4 linked regions of the Anolis sagrei genome follow. Each later gene encodes a partner of the first gene's protein in a complex. Links are inferred from orthologs where the notes say so. Each region holds a gene or a part of one and is shown on either strand. Other genes may lie near its edges. The genes, in order: ITGAV, TGFB1, ITGB6 and ITGB8.

Region 1 (7,716 bases):
GTACAATGGAAAGTGGCTACTAGGGGTGTAGAATTTTTTCATTAGTTGTCATAAGTCATACCAAATTCATTAAATTTGTACTTTCGATGCAATATCTGACGTGCTGGCACAGCCTGTGCTAAAAACTAAAGAATCAAAACTTACCAAATACTTTTTAAATTTTCATTTTGTAAATCTTGGAAGCCTTCCAAAGTCAGTTTCTGTTTCAGCACAAGGAAGCAAAGCAAAGCCAAAAAGGCTGCCTTTCCTCTTTAAATTAATGGCATCTCGCCATTAGGAGGGGGAAGCAGCAGTGATAAAGCAGAGTTTGCTGGGAAAGACTGAGAATTCAAAAGGCCCTGCCTAAACTACATTTCCCAGAATTCTGCTCAGCATCAGTAAGCCCCAATCAGGATAGGGGAGAAATGTGTCCCTCCCTCCATAGCAGCAGCCAGACAGAGTTCCAATGAATGGCTGAATCTGCAAAGAGGAGGACTGACTAATACTTCTAGTAAGTAAATCTCTGCTGGACTGGGAAGAAATCCCTAAATGGAAGTTCTATTGTTAATATGGGAGACATTTAATGAGCTAGCTATTGTGGCTTTTTAAAAAAGCACGTTTTTGTCAACATTTTTTTAAAAATCCCTAAAATTAGTAGATGTATGAATATTTCTGAAAGTTGCGGTGGGAGATGATCCCCCATTATTTTGTGACATTGTAGAGAAAATTCAAGGAGATAGCTCTTCTAGTTTTTAAAATGCTGTTTATAAAACTTTGAAATTTCCCCAAAAATCCATGGATAAGTGAAACGTTCTGAAACCTGATAGGCTAAAAGTGGTAAATGTGTTTTAGCATTATAGCAAGTTTCACCCGAACAGGTGTAAAAATGAGAGAAAGAAGCCCATGAGGTTTCCCCATTTGCGCAAATATATAATGAAAAATTAATGAATTTCCTTTTTTCTCATTATAGTAATGACATTTTCAGTAACAACACTTTAGAAACACTTTAGAAGCAAAATGCTAGTGGCCCTAGTTTTTTAATTACTTTTGAAACATCGATCACACAGCCCTAGTGGCTACACCCTGAAGATGTCTAGACTGCCCAAGTCCTTTCATGGGCAGCAACTGGAATGACTTCAGCTTCCCTGAGAACATGACTAAACTGCGTGGAGACTGTGTGGGAGGCAAGGAGCTGACTCATCAAAACAGGGGCTTTCATGCATTCAGCTGCTTCCAACATAGATAAAAAACAATAAGGGTGAAAAGGAAGCACATTCAATGAAAACACTCCTGCCCACACAAAAATGTGGGTTGCAGGTAATTCATCAGATCGACTCAGTAATAATTAATCCCTGTGTTTCCCTCTATGTTTTCACTAACATTTGAACAAACATGGCACTTGAAGATCTTTTTGTTTTAGACCTATGGTGACCCTATCACAGGGTTTCCTTGTTCAGAAGAGGGTGGCTTTCTACTTCCTCTGAGGCTGAGAGAGTGTGACTGACTAGTCCAAATTCACCCGTTGGGTTTCATAGCTGAGCCATCCCCCAAGAAAATTCCAAAAAGCAAATCTTGATTTTGCCATTTTATACAGTGAATAATATTTTACTACAGAATTAGATATATGGGCAGCCCCCACGTTATAAACATCCAACTAACAAATAGGAAGTGAGAGAAATCGTGGATTTTGGGTATCCTGATCTGTCTCCTGAATCCTTGGAATCCTGAAACCTTGAATCTTTGGACTGGCTTTTGACTACGGTATAGACTCTTGATCCCTGGACTTTGCTCATTGAACTCTCGGCCTTTGACTACGGTGTAGTGTTTGCTATCAGTTTTTGTTTTGTATTCTGCGGCTTAGTGTTATCTTTGTGTTATATTTTGTACTATTAAAACAGCCAGAAAGTGCTGTTTTAATTAAAATGTTTAACACAAACTGGGTATTTGTTTGGTTCATCTCTGCCTAAAGAACGACAATGACTTTTGAATCATATTTTTATGGATCACACATCCCTACTGTAGTATGAATGCAGTTGGACCTCACTTGAATTGCCAGGGTTCAATACAGAAAATCCTGGTATGTGTAGTTTGACAAGTCTACCCAGGTACTCATATGGGGATGTCAGCTCCAGCTCCTGCCAACCTAGCAGTTTGAAAACATGCAGATGTGAGTAGATCAATAGGTACTGCTCCGGAGGGAAGGTAACGGTGCTCCGACACCAACACCAAAATACAACACCGCCTGAGCTCTGTGAGTGCAGCATTTTCCCGAATGAAGCAGAGAGTGTTTGAGGACCGAGACATCCGTAGGGATACCAAGGTGCTTGTCTACAAAGCTATTGTCCTCCCAACCCTGCTCTATGCCTGCGAAACGCGGACTGTCTACAGACGTCACATGCAACTCCTGGAATGATTCCATCAGCGCCGCCTCCGGAAAATCCTGCCAATCTCTTGGGAAGACAAGCGGACAAACGTCAGCATGCTGGAAGAAGCAAAGACCACCAGCATTGAAGCGATGGTCCTCTGCCATCGACTCCGCTGGGTCGGCCACGTTGTTCGGATGCCTGACCACCACCTTCCACAGCAGTTGCTCTATTCTGAACTTAAGAACGGAAAACGAAATGTTGGAGGACAGGAAATGAGATTCAAAGGTGGGCTCAAAGCCAACCTTAAAAACTCTGGCATAGACACTGAGAACTGGGAAGCCCTGGCCCTTGAGTGCTCCAGCTGGAGGTCAGCTGTGACCAGCAGTGCTAAAGAATTCAAGAAGGCACGAGTGGAGGGCGAAAGAGGGCGAAAGAGGGCGAAAGAGAGAAACGTGCCAGGAGGAAGGTGCATCAAGCTAACCCCAACTGGGACCACCTTCCACCTGGAAACCAATGCCCTTACTGTGGGAGAAGATGCCGGTTAAGAATAGGGCTCCACAGCCACCTACGAACCCACAAGGAAACGCATAATGGAAGCCCATCTTACTCGTCCAACGAGGGATCGCCTAAGTAAGTAAGTAACGGTGCTCCATGCAGTCATGCTGGCCAGATTTCCTTGGAGGTGTCTACGGACAACGCCTGCTCTTCGGCTTTAGAAGAGATGAGCACCACCCTGCACAGTTGGACACAACTAGACTTAGTGTCAAGGGGAAATCCTTTACTTTTACCTTAAAGAAGGACACGTGGATGGAAGTATGCAGTGGGCATCCAGTTTAAAAGCTTCCAAGGAAGAAGCCTCTACCACACTCGGGGCAGAGAGTTCCACTGCTGAACAGCTCTCACAGTCAGAAAGTTCCTCCTAATGTTCAGATGGAATCTCCTTTCTTGTAATTTGAAGCATTTTTCCATTGCGTCCTAGTCTCCAGGGCAGCCGAAAACAAGCTTGCTCCCTCCACCCTATGATTTCCTCTCATGTATTTCTACATTGCTATCTTGTCTCCTCTCAGCCTTCTCTTCTGAACACTAAACATGCCCAGCTCTTTAAGCCACTCCTCATAGGGATTATTCTCTAGCCCCTTCATCATTTTAGTCGCTTTCCTCTGAACACATTCCAGGTTGTCAATATCTCCCTTCAATTGTGATGCCGAGAATTGGACACAGTATTTCAGGTGTGGTCTAACCAAGGCAGAATACATCAGACTGGCAACAAAGATCCGCCTAGTCAAAGCCATGGTATTCCCTGTAGTAACCTACGGATGTGAGAGCTGGATCTTAGGGAAGGCTGAGCGAAGGAAGATCGATGCTTTTGAACTGTGGTGTTGGAGGAAAGTGCTGAGAGTGCCTTGGACTGCGAGAAGATCCAACCAGTCATCCTCCAGGAAATAAAGCCCGGCTGCTCACTGGAGGGAAGGATAGTAGAGACAAAGTTGAAGTACTTTGGCCACATCATGAGGAGACAGCAAAGCCTAGAGAAGACAATTATGCTGGGGAAAGTGGAAGGCAAAAGGAAGTGGGGCCGACCAAGGGCAAGATGGATGGATGGCATCCTTGAAGTCACTGGACTGACCTTGAAGGAGCTGGGGGTGGTGACGGCCAACAGGGAGCTCTGGTGTGGGCTGGTCCATGAGGTCACGGAAGAGTTGGAGACGACTGAACGAATGAACAACAACATCATGTCTCTTCTCAGCCTTCTCTTCTGCAGGCTAAACATGCCCAGCTCTTTAAGCCGCTCCTCATAGGGCTTGTTCTCCAGACCCTTGATCATTTTAGTCGCCCTCCTCTGGACACATTCCACCTTGTGAACATCTCTCTTCAGTTGTGGTGCCCAGAATTGGACACAATATTCCAGGTGTGGTCTAACCAAGGCAGAATAGAGGGGTGGCATGACTTCCCTGGATCTAGACACTAGTCTCCTATTGATGCAGGAATCCTAGAAGTTGCAGTAAAATGAGGCAACAGAGAAGGCGAAAGACGCCCATAAGTATTGAGCCAGGCTGTGAAAGAAGAGCATGAATGTAACAGTGGGTGCAATGGGGCGCCAAAGAGTGGCAGATTCGCCTCTGGAACTTTGGGCCAGAGGGGGAAGCCACGCCCCCTTTGGAAGCCACGCCCCCTTTGGACCAGCCTCCTCCTCCTCTCCCTCCCTTCAGCGCGGAGTCGCAGCTCTAGGAACAAAACAAAAAGCAAGTCTCATCCTCGCCGCGGATTGGTCGCCAGGGCTGGGGAGCGCTCTTTCTCTCTCTCTCTCCCTCAGTCCCTGGCGGTGATTATTCCTCCTCCTCCCGTTCCTCCTCCTCCGGCCTGGCGGGTTGGCGAGGCGACTTTGGGCCACTTTCCGCGTCTTCCTCTGGGCTGCTGCCTGCGCGCCATGGCCGGCCTCCCTTGGCTCCCTCTCCTCCTCCTCCTCCTCTTCTCGGCTTTGCCGCCCGGCCGGCCTTTCAACCTGGACGTGGAAAGCCCCGCCGTTTACTCCGGAGCGGAAGGCAGCTACTTCGGCTTCGCCGTGGATTTCTTCGCCCCGGATCGCGCCTCGTAAGTAGCGCTTCCAGAGCCCGTCCGCACTGGAGGCTTGCTGCGGTTTCACGCCGCTTGGGACTGCCATGGCTCAAGACTAAGGGAGTTGCATTCGTCATTGCATAAAGTCTTAAAAGAGTGGGTGGCTGTGAGTTTTCCAGACTGTCTGGCTGTGTTCCAGAAGCATTCTCTCCTGACGTTTTGCCCACATCTATGGCAGGCATCCTCAGAGGTTGTGAGGTCTGTTGGAAACTAAGAAATTTGGGTTTAGGTATCTGGGGAATAATGTCCAGGGAGGGAGAAAGAACTCTTGTAATTGATCACCTTGATTAGCATTGAATGGCCTTGCAGCTTCAAAGACTGGCTGCTTCCTGCCTGGGGGAATTCTTTGACTTAAAAGAGTGCATTCTTTCCTGACATTTCGCCTACATCTATGGCAGGCTTCCTTAGAGCCTGTGAGGTCTGTTGGAAACTAGGAAAATTGGGTTTATATATCTGTGGAATAATGTCCAGGGTGGAAGAAAGAACTCTTGTCTGCTTGAGGCAAGTGTGAAGGCTGCAATTGATCACCTTGATTAGCATTTAATGGCCTTGCAGCTTTAATGCCTGTCTGACTGCTGCCTGGGGGAATCCTTTGTTAGGAGGTATTAGCTGGCCCTGATTGATTCCTGCCTAGAATTCCCCTACTTTTTGAGTCTTGCTCTTTATTTACTGTTCTAGTTTTAGAATTTGTGTTGTCGAAGGCTTTCATGGCTTTTCACTGGGTTGCTGTGAGTTTTCTAGGCTGTCTGGCCATGTTCCAGAAGCATTCTCTCCTGACATTTCGCCCACATCTATGAAGTTGGTAGCTCTTTTGGAAACTAGGCAAGTGGGGTTTATATATCTGTGGAATAATGTCCACTGTGGGAGAATGAACTCTTGTCTGCTTGAGGCAAATGTGGAGGCTGTAATTGATCACCTTGATTAACATTTAATGGCCTTGCAGCTTCAAAGCCAAGCTGCTTCCTGCCTGGGGGAATGGCATACTCTCCTGACATTTTCCCTGTATCTATCGCAGGCATCCTCAAGAGGTTGAGAGATCTGCTGGTGTCTCTCCAGACGGCATTCTCTCCTGACATTTCGCCTGTATCTATGGCAGGCATCCTCAGAGGTTGTGAGGTCTGTTGGAAAATGAGAAGTATAGATCTGTGGAATAATGTCCAGGGTGGAAGAAAGAACTCTTGTCTGCTTCAGGCAAGAGTAAATGTTGCAATTAGCCACCTTGATTAGCACTGAATGGCTTTGCAGCCTCAAAGACTGGCTGCTTCCTGCCTGGGGAAATCCTTTGTCATACAAGAGTGCTGGTGTCTTGCCAGACGTACAGATTCCAGGATTACATTGCAGTTAAAGTGGTGCCAAACTGCATTCATTCCACAGTGTAGACGCATCCATATTAGAGGCTTTAAACGGTCCAGTTTCTTTCTTTTTTTTTCAGTTTTGGTGATGGGATGTTGGACCCAAGGCAAGTTTCACGGGAGGGAAGAAATTGGAAAGCTCACCTCCATTCTGAGAGTTTGGAAGGAAGGAAGGAAGGAGAGGAGGAGGGAGCCTCCTTAAAATAAATGAATGGAGTTCAGTGTGAGTCTGGAAGAAGGGATTGGGGATGAAACACAAAGCCTCCCTTAAGAAAGAAGGCACAAAAAGTAGGTTGCTGTGACTTTTCCAGGCTATATGGCCATGTTCTAGAAGCATTCTCTCCTGACATTTTGTCCACATCTATGGCAGGCATCCTCAGAGATTGTGAGGTCTGTTGGAAACTAGGCTTTGAAGCTGCAAGGCCATTCAGTGCTAATCAAGGTGACTAATGGCAACATCCACATGTGCCTCCATCTGACAAGAGTTCTTTATCCTACCCTGGACATTATTCCATAGATATATAAACCCCACTTGCCTAGTTTCCAACAGACCACACAATCTCTGAGGATGCTTGCCATAGATGTGGGTGAAATGTCAGGAGAGAATGCTTCTGGAACATGGCCAGACAGCCTGGAAGATTCACAGCAACCTAGTGATTCCGGCCATGAAAGCCTTTGAGAACACAAAGCACAAAAAAGCCCTGCCGTTAGGGTGCATCAGTTTGACACCACTTTAACTTCTCTGGCTTCATTCTATGGAATCCTGGGATTTGTAGTTTGTCAAGGTCTTTAACCATCTCTGTCAGATAATGCTGGTGTCTCACCAAACTACAAACTCCTTATGAAGAGAAAATGCAGGGTAAAGTAAAGATTTCCCCTTGACATTGAAGTTAAGCCATATCTGACTCTGGGGGGTGATGCTCATTTCCATTTCTAAGCCAAAGAGCCGGTGTTGTCCGTAGATGACTCCAAGGTCATGTGGCCAGCATGGCTGCATGGAGCATTGTTACCTTCCCGTCCGAGCGGTACCTATTAATCTACTCATATTTGCATGATTTCGAACTGCTAGGTTGGCAGAAGCTGGGGCTAACAGCAGGAGCTCATCCTGCTCCCTGGATTCGAACCACCAACCTTTTAGTCGGCAAGTTCAGCAGCTCAGCAGTTTAACCCACTGCGCTACTGGGGGCTCAAAGAGGTATAGATGATGATGATGATGATGATAATACAAACCCTAGGAAGCATTGAGCCAAAGCAGTTTAAGTGATGTCAAACTACATCCATTATACTGTAGATAAGATATAATTCAAAGGTATTTGCTGGGATTTGCTTTGAACTGACATTCATAGGATCACGAAAGTGAGCAGGCAACTTGAAGGCACATACATACTCAAGGCTAAGGTCTT
Region 2 (7,106 bases), on another chromosome or scaffold:
ATTCCTATCAGTCATCATTGTCCTTTATTTATCTGCCAGATTGCCCAAACGCCTGGTCCCAAATCCATGTTTTTAATTTCCTTCTAAAGGAAAGGAGGGATGACGATGATCTAATTTCCCCAGGGAGTGAATTCCATAGGTGAGGGGCCACCACCGAGAAGGCCCTGCTCTTTGTCCCCGCCAATCTCACTTGTGATGAAGGCGGGGCTTGAGTCCCCCCCCCCCAAAGGAGACTCAGAGCGGCTTACAAGATATATATGCATACAATATATTAAGTTAGTAGCATAGTACAATATCAGTATTAAATATTACTATATTGTACTATACCATTATATTGTAATATTATTGGTAATATTACATGTAATATAAATATATAATTATAATATCATATTATTGTTATTGTTAGTAGTAGTAGTATTATATTGCATTACATTATAATATTATAAATATTTTATGGACAACACTGGCTTAGAAATGGAGATAAGCACCACTCCCCAGAGTCGAAAATGACTTGGCTTAATGTATTGTCGAAGGCTTTCATGGCCGGAATCACTGGGTTGTTGTAGGTTTTTTCAGGCTATATAGCCGTGTTCTAGAGGCATTTTCTCCTGACATTTCGCCTGCATCTATGGCAAACATCCTCAGAGGCAGTGAGGTCTTTTGGAACTAGGAAAGTGGGTTTATGTATCTGTGGAATGACCACGGTGGGGCAAAGAACTCTTATCTGTTGGAGCTAGGTGTGAATGTTTCAACTGACCACCTTGATTAGCATTTTATGGTCTGGCAGTGCCTGGGGCAATCTTTTGTTGAGAGGTGATTAGATGTGCCTGATTGTTTCCCCTCTGTTGTTTTGCTGTTGTAATTTTAGGGTTTTTTTTAGTACTGGTAGCCAGATTTTGTTCATTTTCATGGTTTCCTCCTTCCTGTTGAAATTGCCCACATGCTTGTGGATAGACTTAATGTCAGGGGAAACCTATACCTTTACTTCACCTTGGATGTTGCTTGGTTTTTACCTGTGAAATGTTAGATATATAACCAGCACACATTCTTATTTCTATATCAGTGTTTCTCAACTTGGAGGTCAGGACACCTGGGTGGGTCACGAGGGGTTTTCAGAGGGGTAACCAAAGACCATCAGAAAACACAGTATTTTCTGTTGGTCATGAGGGTTCTATGTGAGATGTTTTGCCCAATTTTATCATTGGTGGGGTTCAGAATGCTCTTTGATTGTAGGTGAACTATAAATCCCAGCCACTACAACTCCCAAATGTCAATGCCTGTTTTCCCCAAACTCCACCAGTGTTCACATTTGGGCATATTGAGTATCTGTGCCAAGTTTGGTCCAGATCCATCATTGTTCGAGTCCACAGTTGTAGGTGAACTACAACTCCAACTCCAAAACTCAAGGTCAATGCCCACCAAACCCTTTCAGTATTTTCTTTTGGTCATGGGAGTTCTATGTGCCAATTTTGGTTTAATTCCATCATTGCTGGAGTCCAAAATGTTATTTGACTGTAGGTGAACTATACATCCCAAATGACAAAATCAATCCCCCCCCCAAGCCTACCTGTATTCAAATTTGGGCATATTGTGTATTTGTGCCAAATTTGGTCCAATGAATAAAATGCATCCTGATATCAGATATTTACATTACAATGCATAACAATAGAAAAATTAGAGTTATGAAGTGGCAACATAATAATTTTATGGTTGGGGGTCCCCATAGCATAAGGAACTGTGCCATTAGGAAGGTTGAGAACCACTGATCTATATGATGTTGTAATTGCTTAGAATGGAATAGCATTTGGATATTTCTTTTGACCAAGGGTTTGTGAGACAGCAGTGAATGGGTCCTTGTTCTCTTAATGTCAGCTACTATCTGCAGAATATGGCCTAGCTTGACCAACTTCAGGCCATGTGTTTTGAATACACAAATACTATTCAGAATGGATCAGGAATAATAGTGATAGCGATGTATAGAGAGTCTGGGTGATATTGCACTTTTGAGTGGGAGATCTAGGGTGAAGGCAAAGGAAAACCCACTCAAAACACATCTTGCCAAGAAAACCCATAAGTCAGAAATGACTTGAAAGTATATGACAACGAAAGTATTAAAATGAGTGTGGTGTATTTTCAGGAAATGCAACTTGTAGGAAAAAACCCCACCTGGGTCCTCATTGTGACATGACCACAACAAAGCCATATCATGTGAGCTCAGGAAACATTCCCCCGGGGCTACTGACATGAGTCATGGGCAGAGGCGAAACTTGAATCCAGGCCTTCCAGCCTGAAGGTATTTCCCTTGACTTGAAGCAGGCGTTATCTAGTCCAGGAGCCCCTTCCTCAGCTGCCTGAGCACAGAAGCTGCCGCCGAGTTAGAAGAGCCACTGAAAGCGTTATCTAATCTCCTGTAATAAAAAAGATCCTTCTCAAAGCGAAAGCAGAGGCTGCGCCTGAGTTTGGCCCATCGCTTCTGCCTTGCGCTGAATCATTTTTTAAACAAAAGAGAAAGCAAAGAAGAGGAAGAGAGAAAAGTGAAGAGAAGAGTCAAGAAGACTTCCTAAGAGATAGTTCAGCAAAAAGGTAAAGAGAGATGAACAGAGCTGGAGAGGCTATGCATCGAAGAGAAGATGAAAGAAAGAGAAAAATCAAGCAAGCAAGCAAGATCTCTTGTGGGGAAATAGTTGGCTCAGCAATGAGGTGAAGAAAGGTGAATGGAGAGAGGAGGATATGGAAGGAAAAGAGAGAGAAAGAAAGAAAAGGAAGGAAGGAAAGAAGGAAGGGAAACACTTGAGGAAGAAGATCAGTTCTGAGAGAAAGAAAAAGGATGAATAGATGGATGGATGGATGGATGGATGGATGGATGGATGGAAGGAAGGAAGGAAGGAAAGAAAGAAAGAAAGAAAGAAAGGGAGAAGATTGGTTCTGAGAGAAACAAAAGGAAAGGAAAGGAAGGAAGGAAAACACTTGAGGGAGAAGACTGGTTCTGAGAGAAAGAAAAGGAAGGAAGGAAGGAAGGAAGGAAGGAAGGAAGGAAGGAAGGAAGGAAGGAAGGAAGGGATACTTGAGGGAGAAGATTGGTTCTGCGAGAAAGAAAAGAAAGGGAGGGAGGAAGAAAGGAAAAACAGTTGAGAGAGAAAATTGGTTCTGAGAGAAAGAAAAGGAAGGAAGGAAGAAAGGAAGGAAGGAAGGAAGGAAGGAAGGGATACTTGAGGGAGAAGATTGGTTCTGCGAGAAAGAAAAGAAAGGGAGGGAGGAAGAAAGGAAAAACAGTTGAGAGAGAAAATTGGTTCTGAGAGAAAGAAAAGGAAGGAAGGAAGAAAGGAAGGAAGGAAGGAAGGAAGGAAGGAAGGGATACTTGAGGGAGAAGATTGGTACTAAGAGAAAGAAAAGGAAGCAAGGAAGGATGGAAAGAAAGAACACTTAAGGGAGATGATTGGTACTAAGAGAAAGAAAAGGAAGGAAAGAAGGAAGACTTGAGGGAGAAGTGATTCTGAGAGAGCAAAGGAAAGAAGGAAGGAAGGACAGAAGGAAAGAAAGAACACTTGAGGGAGACAATTGGTTTGAGAGAGAAAAGGAAGGAAGGGAGGGAGGAAGGGAGGGAGGAAGGAAGAAAGAAAGACTTGAGGGAGAAGACTGGTTCATCATTGAGATGAATAAAGAGCAATAGACAGATGGAGGGACTATGCAGGGAAAAGAAGATGAGTGAATGAGAGAGAGAGAGAGAAAACAAAGAAAAAGACTTGCAAGTAGATAGTTCAGTAATTAGATAAAGAAAAATGAATGAAGAAATTGAGAGGCTGTGCAGAGGAAAGAAGACAACAGTGAGAGAAAGGGAATGAAAGAAACAAAAAGGAAAGAGAAACAAAACTTTCAGAGATATGGTTGATTCAACAATGAGGTGAGTAAAGATGTATGGAGAGATGGAGAGGCTGTGCAAGGAAAAGAAGGTAAGAGAAGAAAGAAAGAAAGAAAGAAAGAAAGAAAGAAAGAAAGAAAGGATAGGCAGGAAGAGCAGGCAGAAAGACAGGCCAGAGCCTTGCTGCTTTTGCCAGAGTCTCCCCTGGTGAAGAAGTTATATACAGCCCTGCTGACTCCCTCCTTCATTTCCTGGGTGGAGCTGGCGCTGGGGAGAGGAGAAAAAAACCCGCTTTAAAAACCTCCAAGCCCTCAGTCAGCAAGTCCCAACAGGAGTGGTAAAATTACAGCCTTTCCTGCCGAGGAAGAAAGAAGAGCCAGCTGGCTCTGGGGAGCGAAGAAGCGGCAGGAGGCAACAGCAGCAAAGCCAGAGCACAGCCGCCTGGAGGAACCTCCCGAATCTTGACCCTGGATTTGGCCCCAGTCCCCAAAGCAAGTGTGGTGCCTCATTCCTGGGAACTCAGGGCACCTCTTGTCTTGGGTAAAGCTGGAGCCCCTTGACTGGCTAAGAAAAGATCCTTTCTTGACTCAAACCAGAGAGACAAGGTGTGTTGGCCTTCTCTGGGAGATGGACATTTGGGCTGCGGCCGTGGTCTGGTGCCAAGGGTGAACCTGGGTACATCTAGCAGCCGGACACATGGACAGCCGAGGTGCCAAGGTGAGTTTCCTGTCACCTTTGAGAAAGTGCCACCCTGGATGGTTGATCCACTCCAAGTAGGAAGAAACTCTAGTGAGAAAAGAAAACTAGGATATATTTTGAAGGACTTCATGGCAAGTGGCACATTGGTAGGAAACAAGGTTCTTCTTCAGATGACAGAGGCTTAAAAAGAAGTGAGTAAACGTCAAGCAAAGTTTTGTTTTCTTTTTTCTCTTTGCCTTTTTGGGGGCCGAGCTAAAGAGCAGAAGTGAGATGGTGGGAGGAAGCATGAGGCAGTTGGTGCCAAGAGGCTGCGGCTGGCAGAGCGATGCCCGACGTGCCCCAGGGGCCCTTGGCATGCATCGGCGGGCCGTGGGCTGGCTTTTCCTCCTGCTCCTGGCCTTGGAGCACTTTTGCTCCGCTTTGGCCTTCTCCACCTGCAAAACCCTGGACATGGACATGATGAAGCGCAAGCGCATCGAAGCCATCCGAGGCCAGATCCTCAGCAAGCTCAAGCTCTCCAGCCCACCAGAGGTGGAAGACCCAGACTCCAGGGTCTTGTCCGATGAGATCATGGCGCTCTACAACAGCACCTTGGAGGTGATCCGGGAGCAGGTGGTCGAAGACCCCAAGGAGACATCTCAGGAGGAGTATTACGCCAAGGAGATCCACAGGTTCAACATGCTGCCTCTAAACCACGGTGAGGCCTGGGCTGGGGCTGGGAGGAGAGGAAGTGGGGTCCATGCGTTACAGAAGACCTAGTAGTAGTTATTTGCTGATCTTTCTCTCCGGTGGCAGGAAATGGACACATTTTGCTAGGCTTCCACATTCGGAGAGATTGGAAAAGGTACTTTAGGACTACAAAACCCACACTTGGCTCTGACAGTTGTGTGGACTTTATGGGGTTGTAATCCAAAAAGTAATATCCAGAAAGCAACACCTTTCTGGATAGGAGGGCATAAACTATTTAGTTTTTGAAGCTCAGGAGGATTGGGTTAAAAAGTTAATAAAGTATTCCCAGGTCAGGCTACTAGAAGATGTCATGGACCTCAGGTCATTGGACCTCAGCACACCTCATATTTTGAGCTGGAATAGAGTAATTAAACTGTGATACATGGGCTGGAAAAGACACTTGTTGTGACCTTAAGTGAAAAACTTTCTGGTGTTTCCTAAGTTTCTTGGCCTTGTTTATTTTCCCCATCTGTAAAATGGGAACATTGACTCTTAGGGATTTGCAAGGGATGGAAGTCGAAAGGCAGTGCCTGTTATCTGCACGATGGAAAGTTTCAGATATTTTCTTTGTAAACATTGGGAAAGCAATAGATACAGCCGAGGACAGTGAGGTGGAGAAGGAAAAGCAATGTGGGGTTACCTTGTTTCTTTGTTACCTACTAACACAAACTGAAGTTAGGGAAAACAAACTAGCCCGAACACTTATATTGGGTGATTTTATGCTTTATCCTAGTACATGGATGTTTATTTAGAATCATAGCATCATAGAGTTGGAAGAGACCTCATGGGCTATCTAGTACAACCCCTTTCTGCCAAGAAGCAGAAAAACAAATTCTAAGTCTAAATGCTCTAAAGTAGTGTTTCTCAACCTGGGAGTTGGGACTGCTGAAGGGGTCGCAAGGGGGTGTCAGAGGGGCCACCTAAGATCATCAGAAAACACAGTATTTTCTGTTGGTCATGGGGGTTCTGTGTGGAAAGTTTGGCCCAATCCTATCGTTGGTGGAGTTCACAATACTCTTTGATTCTAAGTGAACTATAAATCCCAACAGCTACAACTCCCAGATGTCAAGGTCTATTTTGTCGAAACTCCACCAGTGTTCACATTGGGGCATATTGAGTATTCGTGCCAAGTTTGGTCCAGATCCATCATTGTTCTAGTCCTCAGTGCTCTTTGGGTGTAGGTGAACTCAAGATCGATGAATACTAGATGGGTTGGGGAGGGGATTGATTTTGTTCACCTACACCCAAAACTCAAGATCGATGCCCATCAAACTCTTCCAATGTTTTCTGTTGGTCATGAGAGTTCTGTGTGCCAAGTTTGGTTCAATCCCATCATTAGTGGAGTGCAGAATGCTCTTTGATTGTAGGTGAATTATGAATCCCAGCAACTACAACTCCCAAATGACAAAATCAACCGACCCCCCCCCCCAAAAAAAAAAACTCCACCAGTATTCAAATATAGGTGTACTGGGTATTTGTGCCAAATTTTGTCCAGTGATCTGTGTGCCAAGTTCGGTCAATTCCATCAATGTCAGAGTTCAGAATGCTCAGGTTGTAAGTGAACTATAAGTCCCAGCAACTACAACTCCCAAATGACAAAATTAACCCCCCCCCCCAACCCTATGGGGTATTTGTGCCAAATTTGGTTCAGTGAATGAAAATCCATCTTGCATATCAGATATTTACATGATGAATCATAACAGGAGCAAAATGACAGTTGTGAAGTGGCAACAAAAATAATGTTATGGTTGGGGGTCGCCACCAAATGAGGAACTGTATTAAGGGGTCGCGGCATTAGGAAGTTTTGAGAAACAATGCT
Region 3 (8,124 bases), about 15 Mb from region 1:
TAATTTATGAAAGGGAAGATAATCCATATACTTCAACTGTTCCAACATGGTAGGGACACTTCTAATTAATCTTCTTTTCAGCTTCTTTTAAGATTTCATAATTTCTTTCCACCTTCCCTCTTTGCTTCATTTGCTACAAATGGAGACCCAAGTGCAAAGCGCTCAGCCCTGTAGACTCAGGCAAGAACAAACTGCTGTATATTCTTCCTCATTAATAATTTTATCATCGTGACCACACTCTGATGATGTTTAGACACACATGCCCCAGTTTTTATCTGTGAAACACTGGAGGATATGTGGTCCTGAACTTATTCCCTCATATGTGACCTCTGAGATTCTACCTCCAAGGAATACAGCCTTCGGCAGAGAGTGGAGGACAGAGGATTTCAGGGAGGCTTTAAGTTAATGTATGTCGAGTGTAATGTTGTCTAGAGGGCTTTATCAGCTTAAAATAGGCACATCTGCCTTAAAGCATTATGATTGTAGAAAATATGATCAGCCTTGTATTTGACAGGAGCTAAACATCCATATTTGATCAGGTTCCAGGACTGAATTACATTAATATTACAGTGCACAGGTCTTAAGGGATGCATAGGTTTGTACATAAAGAGATCAGGTGTGCCTTTCTATGAAGTTTTATATTTTATGAGGATATGATGATTTTCAAAAATCATTGTAGCATCAGAAGATACAGGAGACACAGTGGCACAATGGGTTAAACCCTTGTGCTGACCTGGAGACATGAATCCACGAGATGTGAGCTCCCATCTGTCAGCCTCAGCTACCCATGCAGGGACATGAGAGAAGCCTCCCACAGGATGGTAACACATCCAGCCGTCCCCTGAGCAACATCCTTGCAGATGGCCAATTCTCTCACACCAAAAGCAACTTGCCAGAGGAAAAGTGTTCTTGCCATACATCAAGGGAACCACTGACTGCATAGGGAAGCTGATAAGGAAACACAACATACAAACCACCTACAGACCTACCAAGAAAATCTAACAAATGCTACTTTCAGCAAAGGACAAGAGGGATCCTCTCACCTCTGCAGGAGTCTACCGTATTCCATGCAGCTGTGGACAAGTCTACATAGGGACCACCAAACGCAGCATTGCCCAGACACGCATCAAGGAACATGAAAGGCACTGCAGACTACTTCAACCAGAGAAGTCAGCCATAGCAGAGCACCTGATGAACCAACCTGGACACAGCATATTATTTGAGAACACAGAAATGCTGGACCATGCTAACAAACACCATGTCAGACTACACAGAGAAGCCATTGAAATCCACAAGCATGTGGACAATTTCAACAGAAAGGAAGAAACCATGAAAATGAACAAAATCTGGCTACCAGTATTAAAAAAAACTTACAAATTACAACAGCAAAACAACAGAGAGTAAACAATTAGGCACATCAAATCACCTCTCAACAAAAGATTCCCTCAGGCACTTCCAAGCCATTAAATGCTAATCAAGGTGGTCAGTTGAAACATTCACACCTAGCTCCAGCAGACAAAAGTCCTTTGTCCCACCCTGGTCATTCCACAGATATATAAACCCATTTTCCTACTTCCAACAGACCTCACTACCTCTGAGGATGCTTGCCATAGATGCAGGCGAAATGTCAGGAAAAAATGCCTCTAGAACATGGCCATATAGCCCGGAAAAACCTACAACAACCCAACTTGCCTCAGTTTGCTTCTGACACAAAAAAAGAATAAGAAGATACAAAGCTTTCTAGAAAGGCAGACGTCATCTCCTACATCAGAATGATTCCACAACACAAAGTGATGGAAAGTAATAAAACTATCACTCAGATATATGGGCAATGCCAGACATGAGCCCTGAGGCCAAATAGACCCTGCAGTAGTGGCTGAAGTTTGATTTATTTTTACAACAACATCCAGAATCCCCAGCCAGCACAGCAGCTTGATAACTCCGTTAGAATGGTGTAATAGGACACCTTTTCTTGTCCGCAATTCAGATGTTAAACACATTAGGTTTGTGCACTCATGGAAAAGTCAAATGGTCCTTTCACACCACACTGCTATAGCACTTTACCATCAAATCTGAAAGCATGCAATTTAGGGAAGATCATTTAGAATTCACAGCCAGGATGCTCTTCCCCAGATTTGTATAAGTTGCCATCATTATAATGTAAGTGGAACCTTAGTACTATATCTGTATAGGGTGAAATAACCCAAAGAAACTATATTACATATGAAAATATGGCAAGGAAGAAAAATTCTTAGGTTAGAGGAATAAACTATTATAATCACATGTCATGAAAGTATGCTAAAATGTGCTTACAATTTTCACTGGCACTTACAATGAATTTTGGGTAACAATGTATTTTAAAAATAGATTCTACATTTTATACTCTACCTTGTTCTCCCATCCATGAAATGTCTCTCACACCCAAAAATAAAAAATAAAATATTTCCTGTTATCCTATGTAGAAGGTTCACAGCTGCTGTCTCCTCATTTGATGACTTTTGAAGTGGGTTGTAGGTTTTTGAAGTAGGTTTTTTCGGGCCGTTTGGCCATGTTCGAGAGGCATTCTCTCCTGACGCTTCGCCTGCCTGTATGGCAAGCATCCTCAGAGGTAGTGAGGTCTGTTGGAACTAGGAAAATGGGTTTATATATCTGTGGAAAGACCAGGGTGGGACAAAGGTCTCTTGTCTGCTGGAGCTAAGTGTGAATGTTTCAACTGACCACCTTGATTAGCATTTGTCCCACCCTGGTCTTTCCACAGATATATAAACCCATTTTCCTAGTTCCAACAGACCTCACTACCTCTGAGGATGCTTGCCATAGATGCAGGTGAAACGTCAGGAGAGAATGCCTCTAGAACATGGCCATATTGCCCGAAAAAACCTACAACAACCCAGTGATTCCTGTCATGAAAGCCTTTTGAAGTACTAGTGTGTTGGAAATAATTGTATTCGTACCACATGTGGTCAAAGAACACACTAGTTCCCCTGATATATGCATTTTTGTAGGCAAATGAAGCTGAGAATTGAATTTTCAAATCCAAAGTAGAATGCCATCAGAAGGATAACTCTGTTCCAATATGTGAAGGCGTGAAATGGATGGCAGGTGTGAAATAGATCACAGGAGAAATATGCAAGTAGAATTTTCCTTCATCTCTGTCAACTCTAGTAACAAAACACAAACGAAAACCACAGTGCTGGTTGTGTTTGAAACTCTTATTCAGAAACTATATCACCAGTTGAGAGATTGGAGATGTTTCCTTTTTTGAAGTATAGTTCCAAGAATCCCCAAACCAGCAGGAGATTCAGGGTGCATCAATACTCGAACGAATGCAGTTTGACACCACTAACAATCATGGCTCGGTGCTATGGAAGCATGAAAGCCGTATTTTGACAAAGTTTTCAGCCTTCTCTGCTTCAGAATGCTGTTCCCTCACCAAATCATTAATCACAGAATTCAAACTGCATTCATTCTATATAGTAAAGATGCACCCATAGTTCAAAATGCCTACAGTGACTGTCCTAAATTCTGTACTTGTGTAACCAAACCTTCATTTGCCCAGAGCAAGGATGCACTCTTCAATTTGTGTATTTCTTTATTATGGATTTCTTATATGAAGCAAGCAGTTATAGCCTTTATCATCAAAACTGAAAGTCAGACTACAACTAACCCCCCGCCCCCAAATATCTATCTGATACTACCACTAAGAAACTGTAACAGATTATTCTGTTCTGCTTTGGTCAGATCTCATCTAGAGTACTGTGTCCAGTTTTGGATTCTGGGCACCAGAATACAAAAAGGACATTGACAAAGTAGAATGTGTCCAGAGAAAGACAAACAAAATGATCATAGGTTTAGAAACAAAAGCCTATGAAGAATGACTGAAGGAGCTGAGTATGTTAAGCTTGGCAAAAAGAAGGCCGAGAGAGGACATAATAGCCATCTGAAAATATGTCACGTTGAAACGGGCAAGCTTGTTTTCTGCTGCTCTGGAGACAAGGACATGGAACAATGGATTGACAAAATGCATTGTTTTCTGCATTCAAACTGCAGAAAAAGACATTATACCTAAACATTAGGAAGAACTTTCTTACAATAAGAGCTTTTGAGGAGCGTGTTGGAATCTCCTTCTTGAAAGGCTCTTAAGCAGAGGCTGGATGGCCATCTGTCAGGGGTGCTTTGATTGTGTTCCTGCATGACAGAATGGAGTTGAACTGGATGACACTTCCAACTCTAAGATTCTATGATGTCCTCCTCCCAATGATTTGCTCCCTCCTCCCTATGACTTCCTCTCACATATTTATACATGACTATATCAGAAGAGAAGGTTGAGAGGAGACATGATAAGGGCTATGTATAAATAATATGTGAAGGGAAGTCATAGGGAGGAGGGAGCAAACTTGTTTTCTGCTGACCTGGAGACTAGGACACGGAACAATGGCTTCAAACTACAGGAAATGAAATTCTACCTGAACACGAAGAAGAACTTCCTATGAGAGCTGTTCAGCAGTGGAACTCTCTGCCCCAGAGTGTCGTAGAGGCTCCTTCTTTGGAGGCTTTTAAGCAGAGGCTGGGTAGCCATCTGTCAGGGGTGCTTTGAATGCGATTTTCCTGCTTCTTGGCAGAGGGTTGGACTCAATGGCCCACAAGGTCTCTTTCAACTCTATGATGCTATAACTCTATGATTGTATGAAAGAAAGCTAATGCCAAAATCTGCAGCACAAAATGAGCAACACTGTTCTGAGTTTATTCTGGAGTCCCCAAGAGCAAGAAGGAATAGACATTGCAGTTTGAAAGGAAGGGGTTTATCCACAGGCTGTTGGAAACTCATCCAACAGGAATCTTTCCATCAATATCACAACAAAGCTATCTTTCCATACTTGCCTACAAAAACAGAAGCATTTTCTTTGCCCAGGTCATCTCAGTCAGTTAGGTATGGCCTTAAGTATACTTGCGTATTACCGCCAGGCATCTCTTATGCCCAGCCGAACAGTCTTTGTTTACTATGAGTTTGAATGTATTCGCCTAACACAAAGATTCTCTCGCTGACTCCCACCACTTCTCCTGCGTAAGCAATATATTGGCATAGCTTTGCCATTTGTCAGCCAGCAGTCTGTGAACACATTTGCTCGTCAATCTAAATTTAACCTTTTCTCACACAAGCACTTGTAAATCAACCAGGCATTCTGTCATTCAGTAGTCCTAGGTCTTCGTGTTGGTTTCTTTATTGTGAAAAAAAATCTTCCAACTTCATGCGCTTTCTAAAGCACACCCTGTGTAGCCGGCAGCGAGGAAATTAAATGGGATCTCTCATACTTCAAGACTGCGAATAGAAGAATGCGGGGAATCTAAGCCACAGATAAATGATCTACCCTACCAAAATAAACCCTACCACTCACTGGATCATGGATGCAGTGGATGCATTTCGGCACTTTCCAAAACGAAAGTCCTGCCCACCCTGAAAGGTAAGTGCTTTTATAAAGTGCCCTGCTAACTAATCCTCAGCACAGGTACACCTTCTTCTTGTTGCTTTGTGGGTTTTTTTCCCCTTGCGGGTCACCAGGGATGAATCCATCAATGTATTTATACGCAAGCCTATTTTGGTTTATTTTGATCCAGTGAACATTCTTTGCATAACTGATGTGAAAGGATGATTGGCCTATTTATTTTGGCAGAACCAAAGTCACTGCTAATACGTTTTTCTTCTTTTGAGCCATTAATGCCATTTTACCTGGTATATTACAGCTGAGGAATTGCATGTGCCTTCCGTGAATGACTGCCTTCAGATGCTTTTGCTACTGAACAACAAGTAACAGGGTGGATTCAAAGGCTGGAATGGGATGGGGTGCAATTTGGCAATGTCTTCAGTCCTTAATTTCATTTTCCCAATTTGACTTGTTTTTCAGTATCAATGCAAACCTTAGATCTTTGTTCTCATTAATGAACTGTTAAAGGACATTTTGGCACAATTCCAAGACATTTGTTGTATCGAAGTTGCACTGAAATTTCTGAAAAGAAGGTATACTTGAACACTCGGTGATTTCAATGCTTTTGGAGGCAGTTATCCTGTTTTGAAAAGACTTTCAAGTATGCCTGTATTCCTTTCAGCATTGGCTACATTCATTCATTTGAAAACTGCCTTAAGATTGAATTTGAATAATTAATGCATTCAGTCTCATTCAATATCTTAATTTTTCCATAGCCACTACCTTTGCAATACTCTGTAATATAGAAACATACCAAAAGTTTACAATGAAGCACATAAATGTGTTAGTCCCTTTTATTTATGTCAAATAAATGGAAACTCAGCAAGTCAATGCTTATCCAAATTCCATAGAATGAAAGGGTCAACTCTAACTTGAGCAAATAATTTTATTCAGACCATACTTCATACCTCGGAAAGGTTACTTAACAGGCTTACAATAGTTGTACATATTGGAATATGTTGTCTGTATCCAAGACAGTGAACTGGCTATGTGGTATGCAGTGGAGGACAGATGGACACTCCAAAGATAGTGGTGAAGGAGGGTGTTTTGAAATTATTTGGCATGGATGTAGAAATGTGCCTAACCCTAATGTATATCTATTACTTTTACTATTCCAATTTTCCAAGGCGGTTAGGCTGAGGATTACAGAAGAAAACTATGAACTAAATTGTCTAGGGAGGAGAAATGAACTGATTATAGATGAAGTCCCATCCTGTATTCACATCACCTGAAAAACATAGTACTACGAGATGTGTCTTGTTTTAACTTTAATCCATAGAAAAGTCCATGGAGGACCAGGATCTGTGAATTCATCTAAGCACATTTGACAAAATATGTTCTTTCTAGAAATTGTATAGGTCTTCCAGTTGCTTCCATGGTATACTTTTGTAGAAAATTGTCTTTGAGTCACTCTAGAGCAGTGGTTCCCAACCTTTTTTTGACCAGGGACCACTTTAACCAGGGACCACTTTGACCAGGGATCACTTTAACCAGGGACCAATTTGACCAGGAACCACTTGACAAGGGACTACTTTACCAGGGACCACTTTGAGCAGGGACCACTTTGATCAGGGACTACTTGACCAGAGACTACTTGACCAGGGGCCACTTGACCAGGACCACTTTGACCAGGGAGTACTTGACTAAGGACCACTCTCTAACAAAAGGGTTACGAAACAGTTTTTGGTCAGCTTTAGAAACGGTTTGGTTATTTGGGGTGCTGATTCAGAAAATTGCATGTATAGACCACATCAGCTCTAGTTTCTGATACAGAACATATGCCATGGTCAGCGACAGGGAAGGAGTGGCAAGCGCCACAAAAGAAGTGGAAATAAAATAAATAAAACTAAATAAATAAATAAAGAGAAAGGAGGCTCGCGGATCAGATTTCCGTCCTCAAGGCCCACTGGTGGTCCACAGTTAAGAACCACTGCCCTAGAGGATCTAGCAAATTCCTAGAGAGGATACTTCTTTGGAAATTTCCTAGGTTCCCCAGGGTGATTCTATGGTAACTTCCAGTGGGAGTAATTCATTTCAGTGGGGTTTCTGTCATCCATGTTTCTGTTTGCCACTGTAAGTTCAAGAAGACATCCCTCATTAATATGAGGATCCTGTGATATTTTCTGTGAAAAAGGCTCTCAACACAGTATATATACCTCAATCTTACAGTGGCCATCTCATCAGACAGGCTACTTGGCCTGTCATACACCACTTCTTCCTTTTCAGGATGGAACCCATTACATGATATACATGTACTTCTACCTGGGCTCTGTCCACAAAGGGGAAAGCAAGCAGCATATGTGGCTGATGTGGCAACATGGGAACTTTCCCATATTGCCTTTCCAACAATGGGTGGAAGCCGGGTGGCAATGATTCCCCTGTGGGATGGAGTTCCAGGCAAGTTGTTCAATATGGGACATGAAGCGACAGGTTCTCCATGCCTCCCTGCCCCCGGCCAGGAGCCCATGGATTTGCCAGGGGCCTTTGAGCTGAGGTCTTTAGCTTCAACTTATTTAGCTGTTTTAAACGGTTGTACATTCTCTCAGGGACCCTGTTAAACACATAAATGCCTAAAGTAAACAAAATAAAATTTATTGTCAAAAGCTTTCATGGCCAGAATCACTGGGTTGTTGTAGGTTTT
Region 4 (7,128 bases), on another chromosome or scaffold:
GCATCTATGGCAAGCATCCTCAGAGGTAGTGAGGTCAGACGCAGGCGAAACATCAGGAGAAATGCCTCTAGAACATGGCCCTATAACCCAAAACCCCCCAAAGGAACCTAGTGATTCCAGCCATGAAAGCCTTCGACAATACATGGTTTTGTCCATTATCGGCCTGAGAAAAAATGTTTGAGAAGTGTCAGAAGGAATTCACCAAGCCAGCTACTTTCAAACACTTGTTAGTTGCTTATCTGTTGTGTTGAGATCCAAAGCACAAAGAGGGAGAGCAAAGAAGAATGTGAAACAACCCTAATTCGACCCTTTCAATCCCTTTGTACTGTCTCCAAGTCTTGGAGAGACTCAGGTTTGGTTAAAACTAAGTGCACATCTATATTGGAAGTATTATCCAGCTTGGAACCATTTTGAGGGGAACTGGTTTCACTGTGTGGGTGATTAGATTGACAAGTCTAGAACCGGTTTGAGTTCAAGAAGGTGATTACGTTAATCCTTGAACCTGGCCTCAAACAGCTGTGCAGGTTCTTTTTCCCATTTCCCAGACAGATGCGTTTCAGTGCTCTGAAGGTATTCAGTGCTCTGAAGGGATTAACAACAAGAAAATATGAATTAGCAGCAGAGATTATCCATTTCTCTCCCCCCCCCCCCCCCCCCCCCGGCTGCCCAGCCATTTTCTTGGGATTTTTTTGATAGTTTCTGTTTGGGATTCTTCATTGTGCATTCTGCATTTTGTGGAGTCAATTTGGCTCTGGATCTCTGATATACTGGGGCCAGCAGCAGCACATTATATGGCTTCCATCGGACTTCCTTGTGCCACTTACTGTTTAATCCATGCTGCAGTTCATATTGGTGGTATGGATTTTGTGGCTGCTGCAGCCTGGTGTTGGCTTTGAACTGCACTACAGGCAATCCGTGAGTCACAAACATCCAACTTACAAAGGACCAGGAAGGGAAATTCTCTTCTCTAAGTGTTATCCTGGGAAAAAGGTGCCTCTACTAGAGCTTTATCACCAGTCCTTGTTTCCACAATAACTGAAAACTTTCAAAATTAATTGTCACAGAGATGGAAAGTGTTCAATCTTTTGAACAGGGACAAAGACGGCAAAACAAATTTTACTGGGGTGTTAATCCTTCCTTATGCTATCCAAAACTTAACAAAAATGGTTGAAGTTACACATAAAAATGTACCTGGAGTTCCAAAAAATTTAACTCAACAAACCTATGGTTGGCATAAGAGGGCAAAGAGTGTATGGAGAGGATTATATGGGAGAAGATAACCTGGACTCAAACCATGTGGGATTTTAAAGGTCACAACCAGCATTTTGTGCCTTGTATACATATAAATAGGCAATGAATGATCCATCTTAATATTTATGTAATATGATCACTCCAGATGTGCCAATAACCAATCTAAATGCCATGTTTTAAAGTTTCTAAACTTGGTACAGAGGTCCCCCAATGTACAACACCTCGCAAAAACCCAGCCTTGAGATAACCAGGATGCCAGGGACTTCCAACTCATTTTCATTGAAGGCCACATCAGCCTCATGGTTGCCTTCAAAGGGTCATTGAATCCATGGACAGCGAATTCATGGATATAGAGGGCCAACTATAATTTCTTTAAACATTGGTTGGTGCCCTTTAGTTTTTACCCACTTTGTATCCCCAGACATTATTGAACAACAACTCTGATCAATTTTTGTTATCTACGCTGCAGACTGGGGAGAATGGGAATTGCATCCCAATAGCACTTGTGGCTCTGAGGTTGGGGAAAAGGTCAGGGAAATATTAAAGTCAGATGTCACATCCACAAGCCTTGTATCTAAATTCAAACCTCACTATCTGGACTAAACAGAACTGAAGACTTCCAGATGTTACTGTGTCACAACTCCCATCAGCTGTAGCCATGATGCCTAATGATGATGCACATAAAATGATACGGATGACTGGATTTGGGCTTTGGGCAACAGGTTTGAACAGTGCCAGACTGAGGACAAATGAGGCCCTGTGCTAGTTAAGTTATGAGGCCCCTTATTTTTTGGAAAACTAGAATCTCCATAACCCTTTGGAGAAAAATGGCATTCACAACCATTTGAAAATCATAACCTTTTGTAAAAGTATGATCTTCCAGAGAAGAGCCAAAAAAACTTGTTTGAGTAAAATCTTCTCTTTAGTGGTATATATATCCACATGTACTTATGCAAGGCAATTTGGTTTTCAGTTGTTAGATTGATAACCTGGTGGTAGGATATAAATAAAGTTGTTATTATTATTATTATTATTATTATTATTATTATTATTAGATACATAACAAGATTAGTATACAGCAAACAAGATCACTGTGCTGGCTTTTGTATTTGGTCACAGTGGGCCCCGGGCAAGAGGACCCCGGTCTAGTGGGCCCTGTTCAAGTGGGCAATGGTAATGTGGGTCCTGGTCAAAGTTGGCCCTGGTCAAAGTGGGCCCTGGTCAAGTGTTCCTTGGTCAAAGTGGTCCCTGGTCAATTGGTCCCTGGTCAAAGTGGGCCTTGGTTAAGTGGGCCCTGGTCAACTAGGCCCCAGTCTAGTGGGCCCTGCTCAAAGTGGTCTCTGGTTAAATGGGCCCTGTTCAAGTGGGCAATGGTAATGTGGGCCCTGGTCAAAGTTGGCCCTGGTTAAAGTGGTCCCTGGTCAGCGTGGGCCCTGGTCAAGTATTCCTTGGTCAAAGCGGTCCCTGGTCAAAGTGGGCCCTGGTTAAGTGGGCCCTGGTCAACTAGGCCCTGGTCAAGTGGGCCCCAGTCAAAGTGGACCCTAGTCAAGTGGTCCCTGGTCTAGTGGTCCCTGGTCAAAGTGGTACCTGGTCAACTGAGCCCTAGTCAAAGTAGGCCATGGTCAAGTGGTCCCTGGTCAAAGTGAGCCCTGGTTAAGTGGCCCCTGGTCAACTGGCCCCTGGTCAAGTGGTCCCTGGTCAAAGTGAGCCCTGGTCAAGTGGTCCCTGGTCAAAGTGAGCCCTGGTTAAGTGGCCCCCAGTCAAAGTGAGCCCTGGTTAAGTGGCCCCTGGTCAAAGTGGCCCCTAGTCAAAGTGGCCCCTGGTCAATTGGCCCCTGGTCAAAGTGAGCCCTGGTTAAGTGGTCCCTGGTCAAAGTGGCCCCTGGTCAACTGGCCCCTGGTCAAAGTGGGCCCTGGTCAAGTGGTCCCTGGTCAAAGTGAGCCCTGGTCAAGTGGTCCCTGGTCAAAGTGAGCCCTGGTTAAGTGGCCCCCAGTCAAAGTGAGCCCTGGTTAAGTGGCCCCTGGTCAAAGTGGCCCCTAGTCAAAGTGGCCCCTGGTCAATTGGCCCCTGGTCAAAGTGAGCCCTGGTTAAGTGGTCCCTGGTCAAAGTGGCCCCTGGTCAACTGGCCCCTGGTCAAAGTGGGCCCTGGTCAAGTGGTCCCTGGTCAAAGTGAGCCCTGGTTAAGTGGTCCCTGGTCAATTGGCCCCTGGTCAAAGTGGGCCCTGGTCAAGTGGGCCATGGTCAAAGTGAGCCCTGGTTAAGTGGCCCCCAGTCAAAGTGAGCCCTGGTTAAGTGGCCCCTGGTCAAAGTGGCCCCTGGTCAAGTGGTCCCTGGTCAAGTGGTCCCTGGTCAAAGTGAGCCCTGGTTAAGTGCCCCCTGGTCAAAGTGGTTCCTGGTCAACTGGGCCCTGGTCAAAGTTGCCTCCGGTTAAGTGGGCCCTAGTCAAAAAAAGGGTTGGGTACCACTGCTCTAGTGTGAAGAAGTGGGAAAAACCTCTATGGGGTTGAAATACATGAGAAGATGATGAAGGATGATGAGGAGATTCGGAGGGCGAGCTAAGAAGGCCGTCTTCTCTAGCCTTCAAGGTGCCAGATGCCCGCAGCCCTCTGAAGGGGTCCTTTCTCCTGGCCCTTTCAGAGAAGGGGGACAAGGAGGTCCCGCCGCGCTGGGACAGGAGGCAGCGTGGAGAGGCCAGGGTCTGCCTCTCTGGCGCGGCGGTTGGGCCAGCCACCCCTCCCCTCCCCTCACTCCCCCCAAGCAGACACGCAGGCAGACGCCCCCGGAGCCGCATTCCCTTCGGGAACAATCGCGCCAGCCGCCCAGCAACAGAGCAGAGCCAGCGGCACTCCGGAGCCCGCAAAACAAAGCCAGGGGACTCCTCCCCCTTCGCCCCTTCGCCTTCCCTCCCTCCCCCTCGCCTTCCTTTCCCTCTCTCTCTTTCTCTCTTCGGGAGAGCATCCCCTTCGGAGGGAGCGGGCCAGATCGGGACGGGAAACTCCGCCGAAGCAAGCCGAGCCAGCACCACCACAACAACACAAGACGAAGAAGGAGTCGAAGGGGAGGCGAGGCGAGGGACCGCCTCCTTGCCCCCTCCGCCCGCCTCCGCTGCCTGTCCTTTCTCCGGGCGCCAAGGAGGCACGGGCGCCTTCTTCCTTGTCCCCTCCAGCGGATGGCGCGCCTCGCAGGGAGAGAAGCCCTTCCTGGCCTCGGGGCTGGCGGCTCCCCGGAGGGCTGCCCACGCTGGACCTGACATGCGGAGGCAGTGCCGCTCCTCCTCCTCCTCCTACCTGTGCCTCCGACTCTGCCTGCTCTTCCTCCTCCTGCTGCTGCTCTTCCCGACGGCGCGGACTCGGCCGCTTCTCGGGCCATGTTTCTCCCGCTCCTGTCCGCCTTGTCTCTGGGGCTGGTCTCCCTCCCGCAAGGCCCTCTTTCCAGACCCATCCTGGGCATCGCTCGCCTCCTCACCGCGCTGGCCCCGGCCTGGGGGCAACCAAGTAAGTCTGGCCCTTCAATCCTGCCTCCTTCTTGTTTCCCCTGGAACTCCGAGCATGCACCTGACCCTGCGAGCATCCACGCGGGTTGAACACCACTTGGAACTGCCGGGGCTCCTGAGAGGGTGGACCAGACATGGGCAAACTTCAGCCCTTCAGGTGTTTGGACTTCAACTCCCATAATTCCGGTAGGCTGGGTTGTTGTAGGTTTTTCGGGCTGCATGATCATGTTCTAGAAGCATTCCCTCCTGATGTTTCGCCTGCATCTATGACAAGCATCCTCAGAGGTCCTTACCCAAAACCATCAGAAAACACATTATTTTTTGTTGGGCATAGGGTTTCTGTGTGGGAAGTTTGACCCAGTTGGGGTTCAGGATGCTCTTTGATTGTAGGTGAACTATAAATCCCAGCAACTACAACTCCCAAGTGTAAAGATCTATTTTCCCAACTCCACCAGTGTTCACATTTGGGCATATTGAGTATTTATTAGAGTAGGATCAGAGTAGGATCATAGCCAGAGGGATCACCTACAGCAGGCTTTCTCAACCTAGGGGTCAGGACCCCTGGGGGGTCACAAGGGGGTGTCAGAGGGGTCATGAAAGACCATCAGAAAACACAGTATTTTCTGTTGGTCATGGAGATTCCGTGTGGTAAGTTTGGCCCAATTCTGTCGTTGGTGGGGTTCAAGGGGCTCTAAGTGAACTATAAATCCCAGCAACTGTAGCTCCTAAATGTCAAGGTCTATATGCTCAAACTTCACCATTGTTCACATTTGGGCATATTGGGTATTTATGCCAAGTTTGGTTCAGACCCATCATTGTTTGAGTCCACAGTGCTCTCTGGATGTAGGTGAACTACAACTCCAAAACTCAAGATCAATGCCCACCAAACCCTTCCAATATTTTCTCTTGGTCATAGGAGTTCTGTGTGCCATGTTTGGCTCAATTCCATCATTGGTGGGCTTCAGAATGCTCTTTAATTGTAGGATAACTATAAATCCCAGAGTCTACAGCTCCCAAATGATAAAATCAGGACAGTAAATAAAAAACAACACTCAAAAAACAGGGGAAATCCACACAAATCAATCAGGGCCAGCTAACACCTCCCAACAAATGATCCCCATGCATCAATCAGTGAGGCTTTGAAGCTGCAAGGCCATTAAATGCTAATCAAGGTGTCCAATTTCAACATTCACACTTGCCTCAGGCAGTCAAGAGTTCTTTCTCCCACCCTGGACAACCCACAGATATATAAACCTCACTTGCCTAGTTTCCAACAAACCTCACAACCTCTGAGCATGCCTGCCATTGGTGTGGGTGAAACGTCAGGAGAGAATGCTTCTGGAACATGGTCATGCAGCCCAGAAAACTCAGAGCAACCCAGTGATTCCAGCCATGAAACCTTTGACAACACAAGAACCATTGTCTGTGAAACAAGTGTAAAGAGTGTAATTGTAAAGAGTGCAAGTAACAAGCTAGATTTTAAGTGCCTGACTTGCCAATTGCATCCTTTACACTTGTTTAACATTTGTCCTGAAGATTCCAGCCACATATGCAAGCAAAACGTCAGGAGAAAGGGCTGCTACAAAATGGTCATACAGCCCAGAACCCACACAACACCCCAGTGATTCCAGCCATGAATAGTATTGAATGTTCTTGCAGTTTCAAAGCCTGGCTGCTTCCTGCCTGGGGAATCCTTTGTTGGTGCTGCTAGCTGGCCCTGATTGTTTCATGTCTGCTATCTGAGTGTTGTTGTTTGTTTACTGTCTTGATTTTACAGTTTTTAAATATTGGTAGCCAGATTTTGTTCATTTTCCTGGTTTCCTCTTTTCTGTTGAAATTTGTCAAAGGATTTCCCCAGGCAGGAAGCAGCCAGGCTTTGAAGCCGCAAGACCATTCAATGCTAATCTAGGTAGCCAATTGCAACATTCACACCTGCCTCAAACATACAAGAGTTCTTTCTTCCACCCTGGACATTTCACAAATTATAAACCTCACTTTCCTAGTTTCCAACAGACCTCACAACTTCTGAGGATGCCTGCCATAGATGTGGGCAAAATGTCAGGAGAGAATGCTTCTGGAACATGGGCACACAGCCTGGAAAACTCACAGTAACCCAACTTTGGGTTGAATAACTCCATCATCATACAGGTTTCTTTCCCAGAGATTTTAGAGATCAAAGTTGGGATATTTTGCAAGTGTTTTGTCTGATCTAGAGCTTGAGAAAGTTATTTTGGATCACAACTCCCAGAATCCTCCAGGGGCTATACTGGCTGGAGGATTCTAGAAGTGCGGCCCAACAAGTAACTTTCCAGTTTATGGTCCCACTCTGAAAGAACACTGAGTCAGAACATTGGTCCATCAAAGTCATCATAGTTTCTATAGTC

Evidence for each region.
Region 2: the proteins of ITGAV (region 1) and TGFB1 are in contact, whole or in part, in a crystal structure (PDB 5FFO), measured with the Homo sapiens proteins. The link is inferred for Anolis sagrei from reciprocal best matches to the Homo sapiens genes ITGAV and TGFB1. Residues at the interface, in NP_002201.2 of Homo sapiens: Asp178, Asp180, Phe207, Tyr208, Gln210, Ala245, Asp248; in NP_000651.3 of Homo sapiens: Gly242, Arg243, Arg244, Gly245.
Region 3: the proteins of ITGAV (region 1) and ITGB6 are in contact, whole or in part, in a crystal structure (PDB 9CZA), measured with the Homo sapiens proteins. The link is inferred for Anolis sagrei from reciprocal best matches to the Homo sapiens genes ITGAV and ITGB6. Residues at the interface, in NP_002201.2 of Homo sapiens: Tyr48, Phe51, Lys72, Trp123, Leu141, His143, Gln150, Glu151, Arg152, Pro154, Asp178, Ala179, Phe184, Gln186, Phe189, Pro204, Tyr208, Trp209, Asp249, Tyr251, Tyr254, Pro274, Arg275, Arg278, Thr279, Met302, Ala303, Tyr305, Phe308, Pro328; in NP_000879.2 of Homo sapiens: Ser183, Pro184, Phe185, Lys187, Thr188, Thr189, Pro190, Ile236, Asp237, Thr238, Pro239, Asp273, Ser274, His275, Phe276, Gly277, Met278, Asp279, Lys281, Leu282, Ala283, Gly284, Val286, Pro288, Glu308, Thr311, Ile312, Gly313, Gln314, Ile316.
Region 4: the proteins of ITGAV (region 1) and ITGB8 are in contact, whole or in part, in a cryo-EM structure (PDB 8TCF), measured with the Homo sapiens proteins. The link is inferred for Anolis sagrei from reciprocal best matches to the Homo sapiens genes ITGAV and ITGB8. Residues at the interface, in NP_002201.2 of Homo sapiens: Tyr48, Phe51, Trp123, Leu141, His143, Gln150, Glu151, Arg152, Pro154, Phe184, Gln186, Phe189, Pro204, Trp209, Asp249, Tyr251, Tyr254, Arg275, Arg278, Thr279, Gln301, Met302, Ala303, Tyr305, Phe308, Pro328, Leu329, Met331, Ser335, Asp336; in NP_002205.1 of Homo sapiens: Ser197, Pro198, Ile202, His203, Pro204, Arg206, Ile250, Asp251, Thr252, Pro253, Thr287, Ser288, His289, Leu290, Ala291, Leu292, Asp293, Lys295, Leu296, Gly298, Val300, Pro302, Glu321, Ser324, Leu325, Gly326, Gln327, Glu330, His349, Trp350.

Annotation. Positions count from the first base shown.
Region 1 is NC_090021.1:185,345,034-185,352,749, reverse strand, and holds the start of ITGAV (integrin alpha-V), read left to right. Parts: upstream 1-4,684; 5' UTR 4,685-4,773; coding exon 4,774-4,937; intron 4,938-7,716.
Region 2 is NC_090034.1:98,784,331-98,791,436, reverse strand, and holds the start of TGFB1 (transforming growth factor beta-1 proprotein), read left to right. Parts: upstream 1-4,054; 5' UTR 4,055-4,828; coding exon 4,829-5,255; intron 5,256-7,106. UniProt on the Homo sapiens protein: Transforming growth factor beta-1 proprotein: Precursor of the Latency-associated peptide (LAP) and Transforming growth factor beta-1 (TGF-beta-1) chains, which constitute the regulatory and active subunit of TGF-beta-1, respectively.
Region 3 is NC_090021.1:200,288,048-200,296,171, forward strand, and holds the start of ITGB6 (integrin beta-6), read left to right. Parts: upstream 1-5,044; 5' UTR 5,045-5,462; intron 5,463-8,124. UniProt on the Homo sapiens protein: Integrin alpha-V:beta-6 (ITGAV:ITGB6) is a receptor for fibronectin and cytotactin. It recognizes the sequence R-G-D in its ligands. Internalization of integrin alpha-V/beta-6 via clathrin-mediated endocytosis promotes carcinoma cell invasion.
Region 4 is NC_090026.1:94,433,829-94,440,956, reverse strand, and holds the start of ITGB8 (integrin beta-8), read left to right. Parts: upstream 1-4,034; 5' UTR 4,035-4,618; coding exon 4,619-4,745; intron 4,746-7,128. UniProt on the Homo sapiens protein: Integrin alpha-V:beta-8 (ITGAV:ITGB8) is a receptor for fibronectin. It recognizes the sequence R-G-D in its ligands.